Regions from separate parts of the Mus musculus genome. Here region 2 is reported to be linked to region 1. Evidence: microRNA targets listed by miRTarBase, many of them from high-throughput screens and not tested one by one. Region 1 holds a microRNA gene; the other region holds the end of a gene's coding sequence.

Region 1 (5,384 bases):
GTTGGTTATCCTAAGGTAATTTTAGAATAAATTATGTCCATAGTTATTTTTCATATTCTATTTGGTCTATGATAAAACCTGAACATCATGATGGAAATGGCTGAAATAATGTCTCTATATTGAAGCTGTGGTGTGCAGTGCTCTTCTTGGACTGGCACTGGTGAGTTAAACTAAATACAACCAGTACCTTTCTGAGAAGAGTAAAGCTCATCACATTCTTTTGATGAGGCTCCTGAATCAAGATAGTGGATTATCCATAAGGACCTTGGAGGACACTTTCTAATGTTAGGTAGATTTGAATATCTTCAAATATAGGTTTCAATATGAATAGTTACGGAAACTAACATATTACGGAACCAGAGCAAAAAGAATATTAAGTTCCTTTCTATAGAAGAAAAATGTAAAACAAAGAAAATTGGTTGTTTTTCATAGAACCAACAGGAAGAAATATAACATAAAGGATATTTCCATGGTATTTTTAAATAAATAAGTTAACATTCAAAAATAAAGCTTTGTTTGAAGAATGATGAAATCAGATGGAGCAGATAAACTATACCAGTTCTCTATTGTATGTGTTGTTTGAAGGTGGTTATATTTGTCTTGATGGTATAAAATACATAAAAGTGGAACCTGTTGAATAGAAGGTGGCTTAGTTACTTTTCTATCGCTGAGACAATGCTCCATGCCAAAGGATCCAACTTAATAAAAAACCAAAACAGAACAGAACAAAGCAAACCAACAAAAAACACATTCTTATGGGTGGTGAAAAGTTTGAAGAGGTGAGCACTCAAGACTGTTATGGCAGGGAACAGGATGGTAAACAAGTGGAATGGCAATAGAGTAGTTGCTGAGCATTTACATCCTGATCTTCAGCCACAGAGCTAATTGAGAATTGCATGGCTTTTATTAAAACCTCAAAGTCCACCCCCAGTGACATAACTTCTCCAATAAGGTCTCGCCTATTTTTTCCCAAATAGTTCTTAGCACTGCTCTCATTGTGTTCCCATAACTTTGGGTCTTTATTTTTTTTCCTTGTCTGAGGAGTCATTTAGTAGGAAGTTGTTCAGTTTTCCTGGGTTTGTATGCTTTTTGTTGTTTCCGTCATTAAAGTCCAGATTTAATCCATGGTGATCTGAAATAATACAGTAATCTCAATTTTGTTGTATCTTTTGAAACTTGGTTTTTGTCTAAGGATATGGCCAATTTTCAAAAGGTTCCATGAGGTGCTGAAAAGACAATATATTCTTTTCATTAGAGTAATTTTTAAAATTAATTTATTTATTATAAATACTGTTTTAATTTAATTTTATCATCAAATAGTTTGCTTTCTCCATTCGTAGTGATTCAAAAATTTTGTTGGGCTGGCATCTGTGGTCTCTTAGAAGCTGTAAGACATCTTCTCAGGCCCTGTGGCTGTTATTGTTTCTGTTGAAAAGGCAGGTATAATATTGATAAATTATTCTTCAGATTATACCTGGCCTTTTTGTGGTTGCAGTTTTTTCTTTATTTTGTACATTTAGTGTATTATCTGTTCTAACCTATTTTGTGGGATGAACCAGAATTCAGGAGCAGTTTTGGCAAGTGGAGTTGGGGAAATCAACTCTAGAGATCATCACTGAGTACAGATCTAATGTATTGTGCATTTGCAAGTGTTTTTATACAGCTTTTGGACCAATGGGGTATTGATACAAGCTCTGGAGTAGCCAACTATCCCACTGTTGGGAGGTGCCAGGCTATTAGCATATGAAGGGACCTCCATAAAAAATGGAAAGTAGCTATGGCCCTGTTCGGCCCATTGTGAGGTTTCCCTACTTTCAGTATCCAAATAAACAAAATCAGAATTAAAAAGGGAGACATTAACAAATAAAATTGAATAAATTCAAAGAATCATTAGCTCTTACTTTAAAAGCCTGTTCTACATAAATTTGGAAAATCTTTAACAGATTGTAAGACATTTTAGAAAGATACCTATTTCCAAAGTTCAATCAAGATCAAGTAAACTATTGAAACATCCCTATAACACTTAAGGAAAGGGAAACAGTTATCAAAAGAAAAAAGCCCAGGTGGTTTTAGTGCAGAATTCTACCAGGCTTTTAAAGAAAGAGCTAATGCCAGTACTGCTCAGACTATTGCACAAAATAGAAGCAGAAGGAATACTGCTAACTAAGAAAAAGAATTTCAGGCCGATTTATCTTGTCATATTAATGCAAATATATTCAATAAAATACTAAAAAAAATGCACCAGAGAACTAGGATAGGGCAGGTTCCTAAGAGTCAGTGGGGGTGATCTTAGCTGTGACTCACAGCATTGGGAATATGGAACCTGAAGATGGAACCTGAAGAGGCCATCTGCTGTAGCCAGGCAGGGACACCAATCTACACACAAAACTTTCATTTCAAATGTTATCCTGTCTGCAAGAAATGCAGGGACAGGGATGGAGCAGAGCCTAAGGAAATGGCCAACCAATAACTGGCCAACTAGAGACCTATCCCATGGTTAAGTACCAATCCCTGACACTCTTCATGATACTCTGTTATCTTGCAGACAGAAGTCTAGCATGGCTGTCTTCTGAGAGGCTCTACCCAGCAGTTGACTCAGACAGTCACAGCCAAACAGTAGATGGAACTTGTGGGCTCTTAATGGAAGAACAGAAGTAAAGATCTTGGGACCTGAAGGAGGATAGGAACTCCACAGGAAGACCAAGAGAATTCACTAACCTGGACCCTTGGGGCACTTAGAGACTGAGCTACCAACCAAGGAGCATACACAGGCTGAACCTAGGCCTCTCCGTACATATGAAGCAGATGGGCAGCTTGATCTTCATGTGGGTCCTAACAGCTGGAACTATTGCTAATGCTGTTGCCTGTCTACGAAATCCATTCCCCTAATCGGTTGCCTTCTGTCCTTCATCAAAGAGAGTGTGTCTAGCCTGGCAGAAACTTGGTATACTAGGGTGGGATTTTACCCAACCACCTACCCCCCCCCCCCGCCATCAGGGAAGAAAGGGAGGAAGGATTGGGGTGGCAGTGTTAGGAATGGAAAGTGAATAAATAAAAATAGACATTTGGGGTTTTTTTTTGTTTTTTGTTTGTTTGTTTTATTTTTTATTAGATATTTTCTTTATATACATTTCAAATGCTATCCCGAAAGTTCCCTATACCCTCCCTCCTCCCTGCTCCCCTACCCATCCACTCCTGGTTCTTGGCCCTGGCATTCCCCTGTATTGGGGCATATAAAGTACTACAATGAGATAATACTGTCCTAAAATAATGTGCTATATTAAATCAATAGAAAAAGGAAAAAATAGGCAGACAGAGAGATAAAATATACTTATGATGGCTTTTCTGCTCACAGGAAATATCACAAATCACCTCATTTACTTATTTGGACTATTGAGTATTATATTTAAAGTTTTTTTCAGAGGAAGTAATTTGGTTAAAAGTTCTGATAATTTGTTAAAGACATTCTAATACAATTAGTGGAAAACTAAAAAAGGCTTATTTTCATGACTCAACTCTTGACAGGAAGATAGGATCCATGAGAATCTTTTTTTCTGAAAATTCCAGGTGAAACTGGGTTTGTTGTCTGTGGCTCATAAATAGCTCTAGTAAGATTAAGGCTGGGGCATTGACAAATCTATGTTGTGTGAGTTGTGTGCAGTGCTCTATTCAGATTAGTGCCAGTCATGTGAAATACATATGACTGGCACCATTCTGGATAATGTAATGCTCACTATATTCTTCAAGTGATTTGACCCTGGATGTTCATGGTAGTATATACTTCGAAGAATGTTACATGCCTTCCATAATTTCAGCTTGTCATTTGATTCCTGTAGCATCTATAATTATAGAAAATATTTTCTTTTCTAGAAATCACAACTCAGGAGCACTTACAGTTCATAGAAGATAAAATTGGAGGATACTAAGTACCTTTATACTACAGGTAAAAACATGAAATGAATACAATTTTATATACTTAATTTTGACAATTAGACAAACAAACAAGAGTCCAGAGCATCCAGAGAGAAAAATATAATGTAAAGGAATATATATTTGTTTCCTTGAATGAAGTGTGGTGGTGGAGGTGTGTGATTCTTCTCTAAACACAGTAAGTATGAGGAAGTCTAATTTTTATCACAGCAGATCAGTCATGATTGTGATACATGTTTTGGTCCATTAGAAAATATGTTGATACAAGTTTTTCTTGTTCACTACCTGCCTATTAGGAATTTTCAGAGTGAATTTGGTACATCAATGAATAATTTTTAATGTTATTACCAGTAAGTTAGATTAAAAAATTAAAAAGAGTAGATTCGAAAATGAGGAAGTATAATTAAAATGGTAATAAAGAAAACCGCACATCTTCATTCCAAGTTGACACAGTCATTCACATAGAATGGAACTTAAGGGATCCGTTAAATAGAAGTCAATGGTGAGAGAGAATATCTTGTTATCTCTGAAATTATGAATAAGTCATAAGTTGGTATAGGTTTATGTTTTTTTAGTGCTGTGATGAAAGATGAACAGAAAGGTAGAAATTCCTGGTGTACCAGATCCACATTGTCTTTTGTGTATTTCTTTTCCCACAGTGGGGCTATTCAAATGAACTGCAAGTATACAGTAGCTCTCTGGGTAGAGGAAGGCTTATCTTTACCTCTTTTTAATGGCTTTTGGATGATAATGTAGGTGTAGATGAAATCACCCATGTTGTGTCTTCCTGGATATTTATAATTAGCTTTAGACCCTGTAGATCATTTGCTTATTTTCAAAATGTTTTAATTATCCATTCTTAGCCTCATAATAGTAATTCATAGGCTATATAAAATGAGTTAGTCAGGCCCGACTAAATTATTCATCCTCAGTATATTTTCAATTATATGCCTATAATAATGTTTGTACATTTTCAAGCAAAATGATAAAGAATATTAAAATAGTTTGTATATAAAGAAGAAATAGCAAATAAAAGTTCATATCTTTTTACTGTCATTCATCTAAGGAAATGGCAATTGATATAATCTAATATAATTTAAAGATAAGGTAACTAATAAGTGGGCAATTCTCCTGATGCTTTCAATAGATTACAAGAAGAATCCAATGTGCATTATTACTGGGTGTCATGGAGAAGTCTAGGAAATGACCTACTCATTAAATATGCCCTGGACAGTCGCAAATTGGTGCTGGTAGGATTAAATGAATGTAGCCAGGTACTCTCTGGGTAGAGTCAAGCTTGTATGATTCTCATAAGATCAGGGTTCTGGAAGGGATAGTGTAAGTGGTCTTGAAGCATTTTCCTTAACCTTAGGTTTTCTGATGATACTTGCAAAACCCAGACTTTTTAAATAGGATTTATTTCCTCATGAGCCTTTACAGATCGACATAAAGGA
Region 2 (5,384 bases), not on the chromosome of region 1:
GGGAAAAGTAGTCACCCAAGGGTGGAGAAACTTAGCTGACAGTACCCTGAGCAAGCAAACAAGCCAGTATCCCAGGCTCTAGGAGCGCCTACATCCCTGCATGATGCCTAAGGCACACCATCTCTCCTGGGTGTTCCCACCAAATTCATAATGATGAGAAAACAGCAGACTTAGCCAAGGTGAAGGCCATGCTTCGAAATAGCCAGCCAGGGTATTAGACATTTCAAAGTCATGAAAATGGGGGTAGCCTAAGCAAGTGACAAGTTATCCTCAAGGCAAAAATATTGTTATTACCTCAAAGAGGATGGAGAGAGAGTTTATTCTGGAGCTAAATATGAGTGGGGCACAAATTCCATGTTTCAGTGTGGAAGCAGTTTCATGAAGATTTCATAGTAACAGAGCAAAGAAAATCATAGATCAAGACCCTTCACATACACTGGTGGAAACATGAAGTGGGCGCTGCTGGCAGAGCAGAGAGATCTCAGCTACAAGCCTCGATGCTGTCTGGTGAAACTCTTAGCCCTTTGATGGGCAGGAAACTAGGGTTAAGGTAAGCTTTTTTATCTGTTAGTCCCAGAGGATTTAGGTCTGACAGAGGGAGAGATGAAATGGCTATTTAGTAGGCAAAACATAGCCCAAGATAAATCTTAATTAGGCTCTGCTCCTACAACATTCCGACCTCCCCGAGTCACTGAAGTCTTAAGCAGTCATCTGGCCTTTGAAGACGGAGCCTCTCTTCAGGAATTGCCATTCACAAAAATGAAAGGTGACCTAAAGGCTAAGGTTGTGGAACGCCTAGCTAGATGCAAATGCTTTCAGTTTGATCCTCAGAACAGCATAAATCATACATTGGGTGTATGGCGGCGAGGAGGACCGGAAGTTCACGATCTTCTTTCTGGGCAGCCAGTCTAGCCAATGGACTCTGGGTTCAGTGAGAGACTGTGTCAAAAAAATAATGTGGAATAGATGAGATGGCTGAGCAGGTAAAGGTGCTGCCACCAAGTCTGACAACCGAAGTTCACTTCCCAGATCCCACGTGGCGGAAGTAGAGAATTAGCTCTATAATACCTTCACATAAAAATAAAATGTAGTAGTAAAAGTTTTACAATAACGTGGAGAGAGACAACCAGCATCGATCTCTGGCCACCACGTGCATGTGCATCACACACACAAACACACACATATATGATTTACTGATTTTTGGTAACTGTTATGCTTATATGGAGAAAGTCTTTTTTAAATAAGCAGCTAACAGTATTTCTGAGCTGCAGTCTTCCAATGGCTCCTCTGTGTGGGGGAGACTAATAAAGTTAATTCTAAAGTTAATAATAAAGTTAACACGAGTAACGATGTGAACTTGTTTTCTTGCAACTTTTCTGTAACCCTGAGATTATTCCAAAAGTTCTACAAAACATTAAACATATACCGAATAAAGCACTCGTCACGATCTAGCCTACTTGTGTGTGTGTGTGTGTGTGGGGGTGTGACTGGCAGGTGGAGCTGTGATCAGAGGAATCTTCAACAGGTAAGGCAATGGCTCCTTAATGAAGGGTGGCCCAGGCTGGGGCACTGAAGTTTTGTGCTCTAGCCTAGGTCTGGGTGGAGCCAGAGAGTCTATGTTAGTCAAGATGCCAGGCAGGCCTGATGTGCGTATCTGCTGTGACTTACACACACACAAGACAAAGCACCAGTGTAATTTGGTCCAGGCAGCTGCACACTGAAAGAGCAGGTGAGTTCTTGCCAGTCTCCCCGTGCGAGTCTGGTGTACCACCAAGATTCAAGCTTCTCCTCACCCCAGCACCTCCCAATGTCTCCAGATCTCAGCCTTCCTCTTCATTCCACACTCCATCCTCCACTGGGAAGCCAGCCGTGTCCAGGATTGGACAACCTGTAAATGAATTGTAAATGCATCTCCCAGGATTGTGGCCAAACCCACTGGCTTTTCTTCTTGCTTCTGCTCTGGGCACCTGGGTCCCGATCCCTGGAGAGCAGCCCTGGAATTTGGTCCATGAAAGCAAGTTGGTCTTCTTGTAGTCTGAGGACCTCCCTGTCTCAGGCAGCCTAGATTGAACTCCGGGTTTTGTAGCAAGGCTGGCCCCGAACCACTGATTCTCCTGGTTCTGATTTCTGTGTGCTGTGGTTAGAGGTGGGTATCGCCACACTCAGCTTACGGAATACTGAGGATTGGACCCAGGGCCTCCTTCTGCATGCTAGGCAAGGTTCTACAGCAGAGCCACGGCCACAGCCACAGCCACAGCCACAGCCACAGCCTCCGCCATCAACCACATTTAATCAGTCTCACGCCTATGAAACATCTGCTTTAGTCCAGGTAGGCCTCCTGCACCACGTGATTCCTTTCTTGATGGTGGCTGTTCTGAAGGCCCTTCCTGGGTGTGGGTGGGCACGGGGAGTTCAGGGGCATGAGGGGGAGGTCTCCTCATTGAGAGTTGCCAGCCCAGGCCCTTCTTACTCAAGGCCAAGGTATAGTATCATCACAAGTTGCAGGGACGCCCACAAGAATTTACCCAGCACAGAGCTCAGCCCCTTTCTGGGTAAGAGAAGGGCAGGGACACTTTGAGTTAATGTCCCAGAATTCTGGCCCAGCTACCCAATTCCTAGGTCCCCTTCTCACCTCCACCCACTCTTCACCCACCTTCCTTTGGCCTAGAAAGAAGCAAGTAGGATCTGAAGGACCTAGAGAAAACTAGGTCATGGGAGGTGCCACTGGGTTTGTGCCCTAGAGACAAAGGCTAGGCCCAGGACAACACCAACGTTCCTTAGATCTCCAGAGAGATGAGGGGGCGGGGCCTAGGTCCTCAATGCGACCACCCTCTGTGGTCCAGGCTTCCTGTCCACACCTGTACACCCATGCTCTGGGGCTAATTCCAGTTCATTCTGGGCTTGGCTGCCCAGAGGCAGGCTTTAGTGAACCCTAGGAATTAGATCCTGAGTCAGCCTTGTACCAGGGAAGAGAGGCCAAGGAGAATGGCATTGCTGTTGTGATTGGCTCAGAAGACATCTAGCTCTCAGGAAGAGGCTTCCTGCCTCCTGCTCAGAGGGCCACAGGTGGTGGAGCCAGCAGCCAGCCACTCCTTTGAGCCTGGAAAAAAGGGGCCTGGCAGGAAAACAGCAGCCAGGTGTGTGCTACAGGCCTGTTAACCCAGGTGCTCAGGAAACTCAGGCAAGATGACAAGTCTAATGCCCATTGGAGCTACAGAATGACCTCAAGGCCAGCCTAGGCCATTTAACGAACCACTACATTGGAATATAATAGGTGTTTTAGAAGGTAGTGGGAGGTATAGCTCAGTAGTGAAACAGTTGCCTAGCATCGTGTGAGGCCCTAGGTTCAATTCCCAATATCACCAAGGAAAACAGAGGATCCCCAAAACTCTGCCCCCAAGTCCCAGCAGGGGACTGGCTACAGACCCTTTGCACAACTGAACTTCTGGCCTTGTGCCAGCTTCCTGGGCTCAGCTTTCAAGGCGTGGGCTCCACAATTCAGGACACATCTGCTCCTCTCTGGAGCACCCAATCCACTCCCCAACGCCTGGTGAGTTTTCAGAGTCTCAGAGGAGGCTGGGAGTTGGCAGAAAACCCAAGCTGAACAAGAGATGAAACCCACCCCAGGTTTAGGAATGCCCTCACCTCCCTCCCATCCCCTCCCCCAAATGAGCTACCCCATAGCCAAGCTGCCCCCAGCTGCCAGAGTCCCAGACCTTCCCAGGGTCCCGTCACACGCCCATGCCTGTCTCCTGGCCCTATTTCTACCTCTAAGCCAGGCTCCCTGGGCACCAGTAAGAACCTATTTGTTTGGCAGAAATGTCTTGATCGCCAAGCCAAAGACCTCACAAGATAGCCTTGGTCACATTTGAGCATAAGGGACAATTCGAATGCTAATATTGTAGATTGAAACAGCAGAATCGGAAGGCGTTAGAAGGATGAGAGGGTTAGAAGTTCAGATATCTGCAGTCCACCTTAGAAAACCCAAGACCCCACTGAACTGCTTGCTTTCTTTTGCCTCCCCAGGCCAAGCATTCGAGGATTGTGTTTTCCTCTCCCTCCCAACTCTGTCACAACTATCGAGCACATGACATTTTTTTTCCATGAACAGATCTTTATTGGTGTTTTGAAATAATTGAATTATTGATACAGGCTCCATGAGATTCAAGGCAAGTGACAGGACAGGAGGGAGCATCCTTGTGCAGGTGGGAGGACTCAGGGAGGACTCCCAGAGCAGCTGCCAGTCTCCTCCAAGCATCTGGATTGTGAGGGTCTTAGCCAAGACCAGGCTCAGCTCAGCAGGCTTGGGGACGTGAAAGTGACTGAGCCATACTTCAGGGGATCTAAAAGGGTCCTCTCTCAAGATTGACATTCCTGGCTTCCTCAGAAGCTCCTGCCAGCCTTGGAAGTCTTTGCAGACCTTGGGGACACTGCTTTAGGCCACCAAGCTGGCCTCCCTCCCCAAACAAAGGCAAAGCAAGGCCCCTGTAGAAGGAGGGAAACTGAGAACCGGTGTAAAGACTGGCTAGGCCGGATGATACCCCCCAGGACATCTGCTCCCCCCAACACAAAGTCCCCCTACCAATGCTGGGAACAAGAAATGGGGTTTCTTAGTGGGAGCCCTCCGGTGCAGAAGACCCCTCCTCTTCCTCAATAAGCTCCAGGTCAAACTCATCCTCCAAGGAGCTCCCGACAGGGAGCAGGCGGAACTTCTTCCCCTTCAGGGTGCAGGTGCGGTGTTCGAAGTCCAGCACGGCATTGTGGTCCTGCAAGACGTCTGTGCCAATAATAGCCTCTTCTGCGCTGGCGTTGGCCACCAGAAACTCGGCCTTCAGCTTTGTCTTGCCCAGGCTAATTTCTGTGTCCCACACACCCAAGATCTTCATCTCTGCCCCATTGGCCACTTTGACCACATTGTTAAAAGGACGAAGAGTATCCAGGTCACCATCAGTGACCTCCTCCCATAAGGCGGGGTGAACCACAGACACCTGAGCCCCAGAGTCCACCAGGAATCTCACAGGCACATGGCCAACCTTCCCTTTAAGGTAGTAGCCCTTACCCATGCTGTTGGCAAACAAAATCTCTTCGGGCTCACTGAAGGCCTCCCCAGGGGCCCCAAAGGCCCTCAGGAGGGCTTGCTTCACAAAACTGAAATCGCCCTGGGCCTGGGAACTGAGTCCATTGTAGACATCCAGGGCATCTCCCTTGAGCGACTCTTTCAGGAACCTCAGTTTGGTGGCATGATCCCAATGGTTGAGGTCATCAATGACTTCAAAGCGGTGCAGCCAAAGGCTGGGAGCTAAGTTAGTACCAGTGAAAGGTTCTGGGACGAAGGCATGCTCCCGGCGTCCTTCCTTGCTTCTGACTCCGCTGGTGGCCATCCT

What was found. The annotated mature microRNA mmu-miR-871-3p reads UGACUGGCACCAUUCUGGAUAAU and lies in region 1 at 3,701-3,723, shown strand. An mRNA with a match to its seed (bases 2 to 7 or 8) in the 3' UTR can be bound and repressed. Matches are read on the target gene's strand: a 7mer-m8 pairs with bases 2 to 8, a 7mer-A1 pairs with bases 2 to 7 and ends in A, and an 8mer does both.
Region 2: miRTarBase lists Asprv1 as a target of mmu-miR-871-3p. Seed matches in the 3' UTR shown: 7mer-m8 at 4,520-4,526.

What each region holds. Positions count from the first base shown.
Region 1 is chrX:66,808,777-66,814,160 of GRCm38, reverse strand. It overlaps Mir871 (microRNA 871), which reads left to right and starts at 3,657; the gene lies at 3,657-3,733. It overlaps Mir470 (microRNA 470), which reads left to right and starts at 136; the gene lies at 136-210.
Region 2 is chr6:86,628,420-86,633,803 of GRCm38, reverse strand. It overlaps Asprv1 (aspartic peptidase, retroviral-like 1), which reads right to left. Exons shown (of 1, transcript NM_026414.2): 1 at 4,094-5,384. The coding sequence ends at 4,611. Among named protein-coding and RNA genes, the nearest start is that of Asprv1, 2.9 kb to the right of the region's middle.